2 linked regions of the Arabidopsis thaliana genome follow. The protein of the gene in region 1 purifies or fractionates together with the protein of each later gene. This does not show direct contact. Each region holds a gene or a part of one and is shown on either strand. Other genes may lie near its edges. The genes, in order: NOXY38 and PKR2.

Region 1 (4,843 bases):
CACCAGCTTCCCTTCAAGGCCCATCTGGTGAGAATGAATCCTAGTGCTATTTATGGTTTTAGGCAGCTGTAAGGTCTTATCGCTCAACCATGTTTGATTTCAGAAACTTCCTCCACAGACCCTGGAAAGAGAGGTCATCACATGGGTGATTATATCCCACTTGAGGAGCTAGATAAGTTCCTTTCAAAGTGCAATGACGCAGCTGCACAAAAAGCCACAAAGGAGGCTGCTGAGAAAGCGAAGATCCAAGCAGATAATGTTGGACATAAACTCTTGTCAAAAATGGGTTGGAAAGAAGGTGCTTACTTGCATCACTCTATCTGTAAATTGGTGCCCTTGTTTCTTTCTGTATCTTGTGCCTTTATGGAGACAAAGAGCTTAGAAAATTGGAGGAGTGGATTACAGGTGAAGGTATAGGAAGCTCCAGAAAGGGTATGGCAGACCCTATAATGGCAGGCGATGTAAAGACAAACAACTTGGGAGTTGGTGCTTCCGCTCCAGGAGAAGTCAAGCCTGAGGATGATATATACGAGCAGTACAAGAAGCGGATGATGCTGGGTTACAAACACAGACCCAATCCACTGGTATTTTATCCATCTTTAGCTCCATTCTTTTTGTGATAGCACTTCTTTTACTCACCATCTGTCTCAATTGTACTACAGGGAAATCCCAGGAAGGCGTATTACTAAGGATCAAATCAATGTGTTATGCGCAATTATTATCTTTGGTTCACCTCAGCACCGTCTGAGCTTTGCTTTTCTATTATAAAGAATGTTCAAGCTTTTAGATTACTGATATATTGAAGTGTTGGTATGCATTGAATTTGCGTTTCAGTGTGCAAATAGATCTCTTTGACAGACATATCAGTTGAAATACAATGGATTTGTTATTGCTAATGACTGAGATTTTGATTCGATTGTCATAACTTTATTAATGTTTTGGAAGTCTGGGACATAATACACTAAGCAGCAAGGTTATTAAAGAGAAAGGTAAATGAAAAAAGAAAAGAAAAGAAAGATGATATGTCCTTCCTAGTTGATGATATCGCAGGGAGGGAAATTAGCAGAGCATCTCTGAGGGAGCTGAAGAGCCATGGAGCGGTCAATGCCAGAGAGTGGAGGTCCATTGGCAAGGAGGCAAAGACAAGGACGACCAAGTGTGACAACGGCAGAGCAACATATCTCGGTCGGTGGGATCGGGCTAAAAGGAGCAACTGCTGCTCTACATGGTATGAGCTGTACCAGCGCGGAGAAAAATGTCCTGCTGCATCCTCCCACTTCCTCCTCGGGCAACATTGGTGGTGGAGGTGGTTGTTGCAGGCCCTCTTGCTGCGCTGCAACAATGGTAAGAACGGTTATGGTCATGAGCAGCGTCATTGCCAACCCAACTCTCATAGCTTTCATCATCATGTAAACAGCGATGGTAATGAGATGACGCAACAACGAGATGCTGCTGGTTTATATACCATACCATATAATGAAAGGGGTAACAATGTCATGCCGTTTCACACCTCTCTCCTACCTCACAACCAAATAGCCTCACGATTACTCCGTGTGTGTGTCTCCACTGTCCAGAGCTTTAATCTTCGATCAAACTCACAAAAATTATAACATATCACCGGTTCCTCCTAGCTACAAATATTAAACCCATAATAATAATATTGTGGTCAGTGATTATTCTCACCTACTGTGGGTATCTAAAAACTTGCTTAAAATTCTGATGATTTGCAATAAATTTCGCATCTTTCCCGCTTTAAAAAAGCCCAAACAAAGCCCATTAGAAACCCAAAAAGGAGGGATTGGTTTGTTATTCTCTGTATCTCTCTCCTAGTATTCAGCTCTAACACATAGAGAGGAGTCAGAATATCATCAGCCGCCTCTTTCACTTCAACCCTCCTTAAACCTCATCTCTTTCCTACTCCGCCGCTCTCTCCGTCGTCTCTCCCGTTACTCCATTTCTCTCGACCCCTCCAGGTAATTCCTTTTCAGATCCTCTACTAGACCCTTTACTTATTTTAGTGAATTGGTCTTTCTCCATTTCCATCTATCCCTTACGTATCTGTGACTTTTTCCCCCCTTTTGGATTGTATTCCTCATCTTCCTCTGTTTCCGTCAAATGAATGATCTTTCTGAAATTCAATCACTTTTGTATCGTTTCTGAATCTTTCCTCTAATAGGTGAAAATGGCTGGGAAGTCGAACAAATCGAAGGCCAAGAGAGCGGCTCAGAGCACTACCACCAATTCCACTACTGATGTTAAATCCGATGCTCCTGCTCCTCCTGTTGCTGCTACTGTTCCTGCTACTGCTCCGGTTACTGCTGCTGCTGCTCCGGTTGCTACTGCTGCTGCTCCGGTTACTGCTCCCGATAATGGCACCCTCACTGCTGTTGACTCTGCGGTGCCTGAAGCCAATGAAGTTGCTCCTACGATTCCTAAGGCTGACGAAAGTGAGTCACAAGTTGAAAATAACGATGCCCAACCCAAGCAAGGTTAGCTCTAATGCTTTTATTAGTAAATCACCCAATTTTTTAGTATATCTCAATTTGAAGTGTCAGTGTGGTTTTCTCGTAAGCTAAGTAGATTCATCCACACCCTCTTGTGTATTGCTTTTAAGTGTCTAATTTTTCTGCTTTCACAGGTGAACTCCGTCTTTATCCTGTGTCTGTCAAAACACAAAGTGGGGGTAAAATGGAGCTTCAAGTGAGTTTTTTTTTTTTTTTTTTTTTTTTTTTGCTTTCTCGCTTATATACTATTGGCTAGTCTTAGAAAATCAAATAGTGTTTTAGTTTCGTCAGGGATTTAATACCTGTAGATATTTCTTGTAAAGCATTACCTTTTCCTACTGGTTTCTCTTATATATATTGGTGTAAATTACTAAATCTGTCCAATGTTTGTGTTTTCAGTTGAACCCTGGAGACTCTGTGATGGATATAAGGCAGTTCCTCCTTGATGCTCCAGAGACGTGCTACTTCACTTGTTATGAGTTGTTACTCCGCAATAAAGATGGAGAGACTCATCATTTGGAAGACTACAATGAGATCTCTGAAGTAGCTGACATCACCATTGGTGGTTGCTCCTTGGAAATGGTTGCAGGTAGCTAAGTCTGTCTTTTCTTCATTTTTTTGGGTTGAGACTAAAAACAGAAAGTTGACTTGTTATGTTTCTTCCCACAGCATTGTATGATGATAGATCTATCAGAGCGCATGTTCACCGTGCCAGAGATCTTTTGTCTCTTTCAACACTTCACTCTTCTCTATCAACAACACTTGCCTTGCAGTATGACGCAGCACTGAACAAAGTTCAGAACCCTGGAGGTTTCAAATTTGAATCATTCTCTTAATATTGTTTTGCTTTGCTAATATTTTCATGCACTGCGAAGGATTTATTTATGGCCTCTATATTGAAACAGATAAACCAAAGTCTGACGTTCCAGAGCTGGAATGTTTGGGTTTTATGGAAGATGTGCCTGGCTCTCTCAAGAAGTTAATAAATTCTACATCAGAAGAGATCAGATCTGTGGAAAACATTGTGTTCTCATCGTTCAACCCTCCTCCAAGCCACAGAAGGTATTGAGCAACTTATTTTAGCATTTGTAAAGGCATAAATTTACCATTTATGTTGTTTCTTATGAATATATTTGTTGCAGGCTTGTAGGAGATCTAATATATTTAGATGTTGTGACCTTGGAAGGTAACAAGTACTGCATAACAGGCACAACCAAAACATTTTATGTTAATTCCAGCTCAGGGAATATTCTCGATCCAAGACCAAGTAAATCTGGATTTGAAGCAGCTACGCTGATTGGACTATTACAAAAGCTTAGCTCTAAGTTTAAAAAAGGTGGGAAACAGCTTATACACCATTCTTCTTAAGTCTATTCTTTACTCTTTTTATGACGTGATAATCATTCAATCTGTTGATTAGCTTCTATTTTTCCTTTTATTTGAAGCTTTCCGTGAAGTCATGGAAAAGAAAGCCTCTGCTCATCCGTTTGAAAATGTTCAATCGCTTTTGCCACCACACTCATGGCTAAGAACTTATCCAGTACCCGGTGAGTTTAATTTTAGTAGCATTTGAATTGTCATCCATCTTGCACAGACGTACTTGTTTATTATAGTATACTTGCGTTCTGCACAGTAGTATGGTTTAGTACCTTAACTCTCTCCTTTCGTGGCTATCTCAACTGTTCTTTCAGAGGTCTTTACTCTGTGTTATTCAGTTTTATGCACTGATAATGGTTCTGAGATATTCATATGGCAGCCATAGAAGTAGTGTGGTTGAAGGAGTCCTTGTTTTTAATTGCAGAATATGCAATATATCCTTGAAGTCCCTCTCTAGTGCATTCTCTTTGTGACTGCCTTTTAATGGCCAAGTCATATCTTGCACAATCTCGAATAATATTTTATTTTATTTTTTATTATTTATTTATTTATTTATTTATTTTTTTATCTCGAATAATATTCATTTTGATGTTTTTAGTCTTAACAAAATTTTGTAAATTAATTCTCTTAATAGAATGTGGTCCATTTCGTTGCGTGTTTATTGACTATGTACTAATTTTCTGTTTTATATATTGAACGTGTGCTTTGTAGCTACACTTGAATTAGTTTTTCTATTAAATCTAAGCACGGAATGTTGTATCTGGACTCAGATCACAAGCGTGATGCAGCGAGAGCAGAAGAAGCACTTACCATTTCCTATGGTAGTGAGTTAATTGGCATGCAGAGAGATTGGAACGAAGAGTTGCAATCTTGCAGAGAGTTCCCTCACACTTCTCCTCAAGAGAGGTACAAGCGATACCTAACTACAATGATTTCTCGGTAGCATGAAATTTTGAGATTCT
Region 2 (7,795 bases), on another chromosome or scaffold:
ATTAAAAATAAATATATGCAAATTTCATGCTGCACAGTGGACATCCAGTGGAAGTATTCGAGAATGATTTAACTGTGTTGTGTTGTTTGGTCAGATCGCTGCTAATTGCTATTCTCAAGTCTCAACCTTCTTTTACTGGTACGCACTCAAAGCCCATTATCACCGAAAACATTTCGGTGGATATTTTAATAATTCTCTAATTGATAAGCGTGATTTTATGTCAACTTACAAGGCTTTTCAAAGCCCAAAAAGGGCCACAGGCCCAAGCATAAAGAGAAACATTCACACCATATCTATTTTAAAGATTAATAAAAATGAACAAAACTGATTTTAATTGTAAAATAACAAAAATTTGCTTTCATTGAGAGTTGAACTCAAGACCTCCCGCTTACTAAACGGGTGCTCTAACCAACTGAGCTATGAAAGCTTTTGCTGTTACAATTAATTAAAATCTATATAATACTTTGTAACAAAACTTTTTTTAAGTGTTAGTTAATTTAAAAAGCGTTAATCAATTGAAATGTGGACCTCTTAAAAAAACTAACAAATACAAAAATGCACCATTTGTCCATAGAGTATTGGAAACTAAGTAAACCATCTTCATACTATTGGTCACAACCAAATCCCTTTCCAATTTGTAACGGACGACTAATTTTGGTTTTGTGGTCAAGACTCAAGATAATGCTAATTTTTAAACAAAATTACAGTGCATGAATCTAATCTTTATTTCCTTCTTCTTTTATAACCTTTTTCATACTTACCATTTGCATGCCTCTCTTTAATATTTGTTTTATTCTATAGAAACAAATCACATTATATTGCATTGAATAGATTTTTATTTAAGTTTCATTTATTTGTTTTCAGACACATATCTTTAGATACTAAAGATATAACTAAATATTTAAATCTTATTTCTGGTCAACCCATTCAGACAAAGAATCTTAAATAAAAAAAACTTTAAATTAATTTCTTCCCTAAATATGATATATATTTTTTAATTATGTTACATAAATGTATATATACAATATAAATTTATAGTTTTTTTTTGGTAAGCATATAAATTTATAGTTTGACCAGTGTCAAGGAAACTTAATAAATCAAACAACTTTTTATACTAATAAAATAAAATAACTTTTTGTTTTAATGATATTTAAATATTTAATTATTCAATATATGGTTATTTTGATAATTTTATTTTAAATCATCATCGAATTTCTTGTTGAAATTTCAAAATTGCCGCGTAATCTTAACGGTTTTAGGTACAATTTCATTCACAAAAACCACTAGGACTCACTTCTAAAAATTTCTCACAGCCACAACTACATCTGCATCCCCTTCTGGTTACAAATTAATTCACCTTTACATTGAAATTGACAAAAAAAGGTAGTGTTATCTCCATAAAACAAAATTAAAAGGAAATAAAGAATAATGACCACTCCCTCTCTATATATATAAACAGACGTTTATCATATCCTTAAGAATCACCCCTCTTGCGTTTTAGCTCCCTTGCATTTTCTTCATCTTGTACGCTCCTCCTTGGTCTTAGATTTTCTGAGATATTTCTCTTTTCACTCTTTCTTGTTACGATTTTATCTAAAAATTTAATGAATCATATTTACTGACCAAACACATTGTTGTGGTTTTTTCATGCAGAGAAATGGCTAATCTGTTGCAAAGGCTTCGTAGACGAACCGGGCCAAAGCCAGATTATATTGAAGACAAGTTGGATGAATACATTCGTGAAGAACAAGTTGAAGAAACAGGCGGAAGTAACCAGGTATGTCTTTGTCTTGTTGTGAAATTATAGATCTGCAGTGACTTTTAATTATTTGATCCATTTCAGGATTGTCCTCTTGGCGAGATTGAAAAGATTTTGGACCGTGAATGGCGTCCTACTGCATCTAACAATCCGAATTCTTCTGACAACGGGACACCAACCCTAGTTGTCGTGAAACAATATCTTGTGAAGTGGAAGGGGTTATCGTACTTGCACTGCTCTTGGTAAATTCCCAGCAATATGCGATATCGTGTTGTATTTAATTAAACATGTCGATTATTATGTTTTTGTTGCTTCTCTTGTCTGGTTATCTTATCATCACTTGATTATTAATGTCAATTCTTAGGGTGCCCGAGCAGGAGTTCGAGAAGGCTTACAAGTCCCATCCTCATTTAAAACTAAAATTAAGGGTGACCAGGTTTAACGCTGCTATGGACGTATTCATCGCTGAGAACGGAGCTCATGAGTTTATCGCCATTCGTCCTGAATGGAAAACTGTTGACCGGATTATTGCTTGCCGGTTAAGTGATTCAAGTCTTGTCCTTTGTTTTTATGTCCTTAACTTGATAGACCTCGTTGTGACAATTATGTTTTTTTTTTTTTTTTTTTCCTTTGTGATTATTTATTCATGCGTTTATATTTCTTTCTCTATCTTCTGTGTAGAAAAGTGTGACACTTAATGGATTTCGTTTTGACAATTATGGTTTTTTTGTTTGTGATATGATGTAGGGAAGGAGATGATGGGGAGGAGTATCTGGTGAAGTACAAAGAACTTTCTTACAGAAATAGTTACTGGGAATCTGAATCTGACATCTCAGATTTCCAGAATGAAATCCAAAGGTTTAAGGATATAAACTCTAGCTCTCGTAGAGATAAATATGTCGAAAATGAGAGAAATCGAGAGGAATTCAAACAGTTTGATCTTACTCCTGAATTTCTTACAGGTATTTTATTAGACTACTTGAACAATTTGTATACAGTTTCTGTATAATGTTATTGATTTACTTACCTTATATGTTTTTAAGGCACATTGCATACATACCAGCTCGAAGGGCTGAATTTCCTAAGGTATTCATGGTCCAAGAAAACCAATGTAATCCTTGCGGATGAAATGGGACTAGGTACGTCTTCAAAAATCCATTTCTTTTTTGGGGTTATTCATAGGCTTTGCTTTTATCATTTGTGTAAAATAAGATTGGTTTTGTGGTTGCTGCAGGCAAAACTATTCAGAGCATTGCCTTCTTGGCCTCTTTGTTCGAGGAAAACTTATCTCCTCATCTAGTTGTTGCTCCTCTCTCAACCATCCGTAACTGGGAGAGGGAATTTGCCACCTGGGCACCACATATGAATGTGGTATGTATCATGTTTCGTATATATATGTCACATATACGGTATTAGTTATTTATTAATGTTTTCATCGTATGATATATGCAGGTTATGTACACTGGGGATTCGGAAGCACGTGATGTTATATGGGAACATGAGTTCTACTTCTCTGAAGGGCGTAAAAGTAAGTTTGATGTCTTGCTCACGACGTATGAGATGGTTCACCCAGGGATATCAGTTCTGAGTCCAATCAAGTGGACGTGCATGGTATTTCTGTATTAATTATCTGAATGATACTATATACTTTGTATGTCTTTCTTTTAGATCTCATATTTTGCTTAGAATATCATTCTCTTGGTTAGATTATTGATGAAGGCCATCGGTTGAAAAATCAGAAGTCAAAGCTGTACTCTTCATTGAGTCAGTTTACAAGTAAGCATATCGTTCTGTTGACCGGAACACCACTTCAGGTTCGTCGTTAGTCGATTTTTGGTTCTTCGACTTTCCCAAGGTTCATTCAATCCTACATTAAAGTTTACCTAATTAGTTATGATCTCTGAAATAGTACTATAATTATTATGGTATCAATTCTTTTGTATCACTAATACTTATTTGGTGTTTTTTCAGAACAACTTGAATGAACTTTTCGCTCTGATGCATTTTCTTGATGCGGACAAGGTTAGCCAAAAGATAACGCATATAAAATAAGTTTAGTTTATTCTCTAAAATAGTCATTATAAGCATACAAGCTTGCTTTAATTATTTTATTTTCCATGCTTGCAGTTTGGGAGTTTGGAGAAGTTTCAAGATATAAATAAAGAGGAGCAGATTTCAAGACTCCACCAAATGTTGGCTCCGCATCTGCTCAGAAGTATTAACCAACAAATCTTATTAAGAACATTTCGTTTGAAGTCTCGCACCAAGGGATAACTATAACCATGGTGATTAATCTTGCTTTTATTGTTATTGCAGGGTTAAAGAAAGACGTGCTCAAGGATAAGGTGCCCCCAAAGAAGGAGCTCATTTTGCGTGTTGATATGAGCAGCCAGCAAAAAGAAGTGTACAAAGCTGTTATTACCAATAATTATCAAGTCTTGACAAAGAAACGAGATGCTAAAGTAAGTTTTGTGGATCTCTTGTGCTTATGCAGATGTATATATATTGTCTTGGTTTAGGAACCTTTTAGACTGTACTTGGTAGGATAATTCGGCTGGTTAAACTGTTTCAGATATCTAACGTGCTAATGAAATTACGCCAAGTTTGCTCTCATCCGTATCTGTTACCAGACTTTGAGCCAAGATTTGAAGACGCAAATGAAGCTTTTACGTAACATTTGATCACTAATCTTGACGTATTGATTCCTTTTTAGTATTTTGTGCTGACTTTTGCTTGACCTTTTCTGAATTGTTCTAAAGAAAACTATTGGAAGCTTCCGGAAAGTTGCAACTGTTAGACAAAATGATGGTCAAACTCAAAGAGCAGGGGCACAGAGTGCTAATCTATACCCAATTCCAACACACCCTTTACCTTTTGGAAGACTACTTCACTTTCAAGGTAACCTAATCTGCTATATCTGTTTGTCGACCTATTGATTTGTTCAGTTGGTGTTGTCGCTCTGCAAATGACTTGCGATATAATCTTTTCCTTCCACTTAAAAGTTACTTTTTAATATATCTTGAGACGCAAGGAACAGTAACTTTCTTTTTATAATTTGCTTATATGCAATTAAGGAAAAACTATTGTATGATATTGAGCCGTAACAAATTTATTTTTATTTTGTCAGAATTGGAATTATGAACGGATTGATGGAAAGATCAGTGGACCTGAGAGGCAAGTAAGAATAGATCGGTTTAATGCAGAAAACTCGAACCGGTTCTGTTTTTTGCTCAGTACAAGAGCTGGTGGAATAGGGATAAACCTTGCAACAGCTGATACAGTCATCATTTATGACAGGTTTGAGTTCCAATATCTGTTTAATGAAATGATAAAGTGCTTGTTGGAAGTTTCTTTCCAGAATAACAGAGTGTTTGGATCTTCTAAGTTAATAGCGGAAAGATATTGTAGAGGCATTTAAGATGGTTGTGATGAATTTATTGACATGATTTTTTCACTGGTGTTGTAGTGATTGGAATCCTCATGCTGATCTCCAGGCTATGGCTAGAGTTCATCGGCTTGGCCAAACAAATAAGGTTCTCTTTTCATGGCGTCAATGTGGAATCATCCACTTGCTATTTCATTCTTTTTCTAGCTATGTCACTGATTAAGCCTATATTTTCTTATTTAGGTAATGATCTACAGACTGATTCACAAAGGTACTGTAGAAGAACGGATGATGGAGATAACCAAGAACAAGATGCTTCTAGAGCATCTCGTCGTGGGAAAACAACATCTTTGTCAGGTATATATATATATATGTATTCCTTGTTCGATTTGTTATTGATTCTTATTGCTACAAGGTTTAATTAATTACTGTTTTCTATCCCTGACTGTAATTAGGACGAGTTAGATGACATCATCAAATATGGTTCCAAGGAACTTTTCTCTGAAGAGAATGATGAAGCAGGGAGGTCTGGAAAAATCCATTACGATGATGCTGCTATCGAACAGTAATATATTCTTCTTTCTTTCTTTGTTTTTACTTTCCTAGTGATTTTACTTTAATAGTTCAAAGCCACCATACAATTGCATGGAATGTTCATGATTTGTAGCCACACCTTTTCTTCTGCAGGTTGCTAGATCGTAATCATGTAGATGCTGTGGAGGTCTCACTGGATGATGAGGAGGAAACTGATTTTTTAAAGAATTTCAAGGTTTACTTCTTTCTCTTTCTCTTTCTAGATGAGTGGTTATTGATCAGATGATCCAATATTTGTTAAGGTCCAGAGAATTGTTTAGAGAGTAATAATTCAATGGATATGCTACAAGAATCATCATGTGCATGTGCATGCATATATATACACCCTTTTTTCCTGCAATATTAAGTTATACACATATATTTAGTGGCATTAATTCCAAATATAATTTCTCTTTTTGATGTTATTTCCTGTATATTAGGTGGCTAGTTTTGAGTATGTAGATGATGAAAATGAGGCTGCAGCATTAGAGGAGGCACAAGCTATAGAAAACAATTCTTCAGTAAGAAATGCTGATAGAACAAGTCACTGGAAAGATTTGCTGAAAGACAAATATGAAGTGCAACAAGCTGAGGAGCTCAGTGCTCTTGGAAAGAGGAAGAGAAACGGCAAGCAGGTACGTATACTCTTCTTGATCCCACCTCTCCAGAATCGTTTTATGTCCTTTAGCACAAGTGTTCTTATTCCTGCTTTTGTTAATATTACTAGGTGATGTATGCTGAAGATGATCTTGATGGTTTAGAAGAAATCTCTGATGAGGAGGACGAATATTGTCTTGATGATTTAAAAGTGACCTCTGATGAGGAGGAGGAAGCAGATGAACCCGAAGCAGCTCGACAGAGAAAGCCGAGGACGGTTACAAGGCCTTACAGAAAAAGGGCTCGCGGTACTATACTTTTCCAAATATTGCATTGAAGATGACATCTTGTTGGTTTCAGAGGTTTACAAGTTAAGTAACTTTGAAAATCTATTTTGCTGTAAGATAATTCGGAGGAAATACCTTTGATGGAAGGCGAAGGGAGATATCTCATGGTGCTGGGATTTAACGAGACTGAGAGGGATATATTTTTACGTACGTTTAAGAGGTATATCTTCTTTCTAATAATGTTGTCTAAATTGTGGTTTGGCGTCTCTCAAAGCATCATAGTATATCATAAGTGTCTCAAAACAACTTTTGTAGGTATGGAGCTGGAAACTTTGATTGGAAGGAGTTTGTTAATCCCTTATACATGAAGACCTATGACGAGATAAATAAGTATTGACGACTTAAAGCCATTTATGCTCTTATTTTCAGCTGCTTTACAAAAACCAACAGTTGTTCATTGACACTTGTTAAATTTGTTGTTTCTCAGGTATGGAATCTTATTTTTGAAACACATTGCCGAAAACCCTACCGATAATTCTACAAATTTTAAAGGTAATTTATCACTTTATTGATTATATGTTTGTTGGTATTCTTAGATATATCCAATTGCTTATTTCTGTTATCATATTTTTAAGTTATTACGGCAATGGTCTATGCAGATGGAGTTCCCAAAGAAGGGATAAGCAGTGACGAGCTACTAGTGAGCATGACTTTTATGATGCTAGTAAAGGAGAAGGTAAGCCTACCATTTTCCAGTGTCTATGGAATTTAAACAGTTACTTATTAGCACTAGTAACCGAACCAAAACTTGAGAAGATTCATTGCATTCTTTCTTAAAGTTTTTGCATGTGGTTTATATATCTGAAAGTTTCTCGTTTGATAAAATTTGGTTTGGTCCTCTCTTGTTTGTTTGAGCTCACTTCTCAATGTTTGATGTGACAGTGTCAATTTTTGGACAACCATCCGACAGCACCTGTTTTCTCTAACTACGTCATCAGTAAGTACAATTTGAGAAATGGAGCATTTTCTAAGGAAGAACATGATAGGATACTGATTCCTGCTGTTTCCAAGTAAGAACCCTTCAACGATTATCCTTACTTGATTTTGTTTCTCTTTGTTTGTTTGCTCACATGCATGTTGCTTCCATTCTTGAAACTTTGTAAAAATATAGGCATGGCTATGGTAGATGGGTGG

Evidence for each region.
Region 2: the proteins of NOXY38 (region 1) and PKR2 fractionate together in Arabidopsis thaliana (co-fractionation; one large-scale study listed by BioGRID). This does not show direct contact.

Annotation. Positions count from the first base shown.
Region 1 is NC_003074.8:19,331,050-19,335,892, forward strand, and holds the start of NOXY38 (tetratricopeptide repeat (TPR)-containing protein), read left to right. Parts: upstream 1-1,778; 5' UTR 1,779-1,973; intron 1,974-2,176; 5' UTR 2,177-2,182; coding exon 2,183-2,489; intron 2,490-2,638; coding exon 2,639-2,700; intron 2,701-2,903; coding exon 2,904-3,093; intron 3,094-3,173; coding exon 3,174-3,314; intron 3,315-3,409; coding exon 3,410-3,566; intron 3,567-3,646; coding exon 3,647-3,840; intron 3,841-3,949; coding exon 3,950-4,051; intron 4,052-4,651; coding exon 4,652-4,787; intron 4,788-4,843. Other genes in the region: AT3G52120 (SWAP (Suppressor-of-White-APricot)/surp domain-containing protein / D111/G-patch domain-containing protein), read left to right, coding at 1-27, 104-298, 406-584, 663-689; AT3G52130 (Bifunctional inhibitor/lipid-transfer protein/seed storage 2S albumin superfamily protein), read right to left, coding at 962-1,333, 1,471-1,473. UniProt on the Arabidopsis thaliana protein: mRNA-binding protein involved in proper cytoplasmic distribution of mitochondria. Together with REC2, REC3 and FMT/CLU, contributes to the establishment of the cellular volume devoted to the chloroplast compartment.
Region 2 is NC_003075.7:15,429,871-15,437,665, forward strand, and holds the start of PKR2 (chromatin remodeling factor), read left to right. Parts: upstream 1-1,657; coding exon 1,658-1,777; intron 1,778-1,843; coding exon 1,844-2,001; intron 2,002-2,013; coding exon of another isoform or gene 2,014-2,083; intron 2,084-2,123; coding exon 2,124-2,297; intron 2,298-2,506; coding exon 2,507-2,721; intron 2,722-2,802; coding exon 2,803-2,898; intron 2,899-2,993; coding exon 2,994-3,130; intron 3,131-3,211; coding exon 3,212-3,370; intron 3,371-3,465; coding exon 3,466-3,573; intron 3,574-3,730; coding exon 3,731-3,781; intron 3,782-3,886; coding exon 3,887-3,974; intron 3,975-4,075; coding exon 4,076-4,221; intron 4,222-4,331; coding exon 4,332-4,429; intron 4,430-4,518; coding exon 4,519-4,657; intron 4,658-4,886; coding exon 4,887-5,056; intron 5,057-5,225; coding exon 5,226-5,292; intron 5,293-5,387; coding exon 5,388-5,501; intron 5,502-5,599; coding exon 5,600-5,709; intron 5,710-5,831; coding exon 5,832-5,913; intron 5,914-6,157; coding exon 6,158-6,352; and 14 more. UniProt on the Arabidopsis thaliana protein: Chromatin remodeling factor that represses the expression of embryonic trait genes upon and after seed germination and thus enables the developmental switch to post-germinative growth.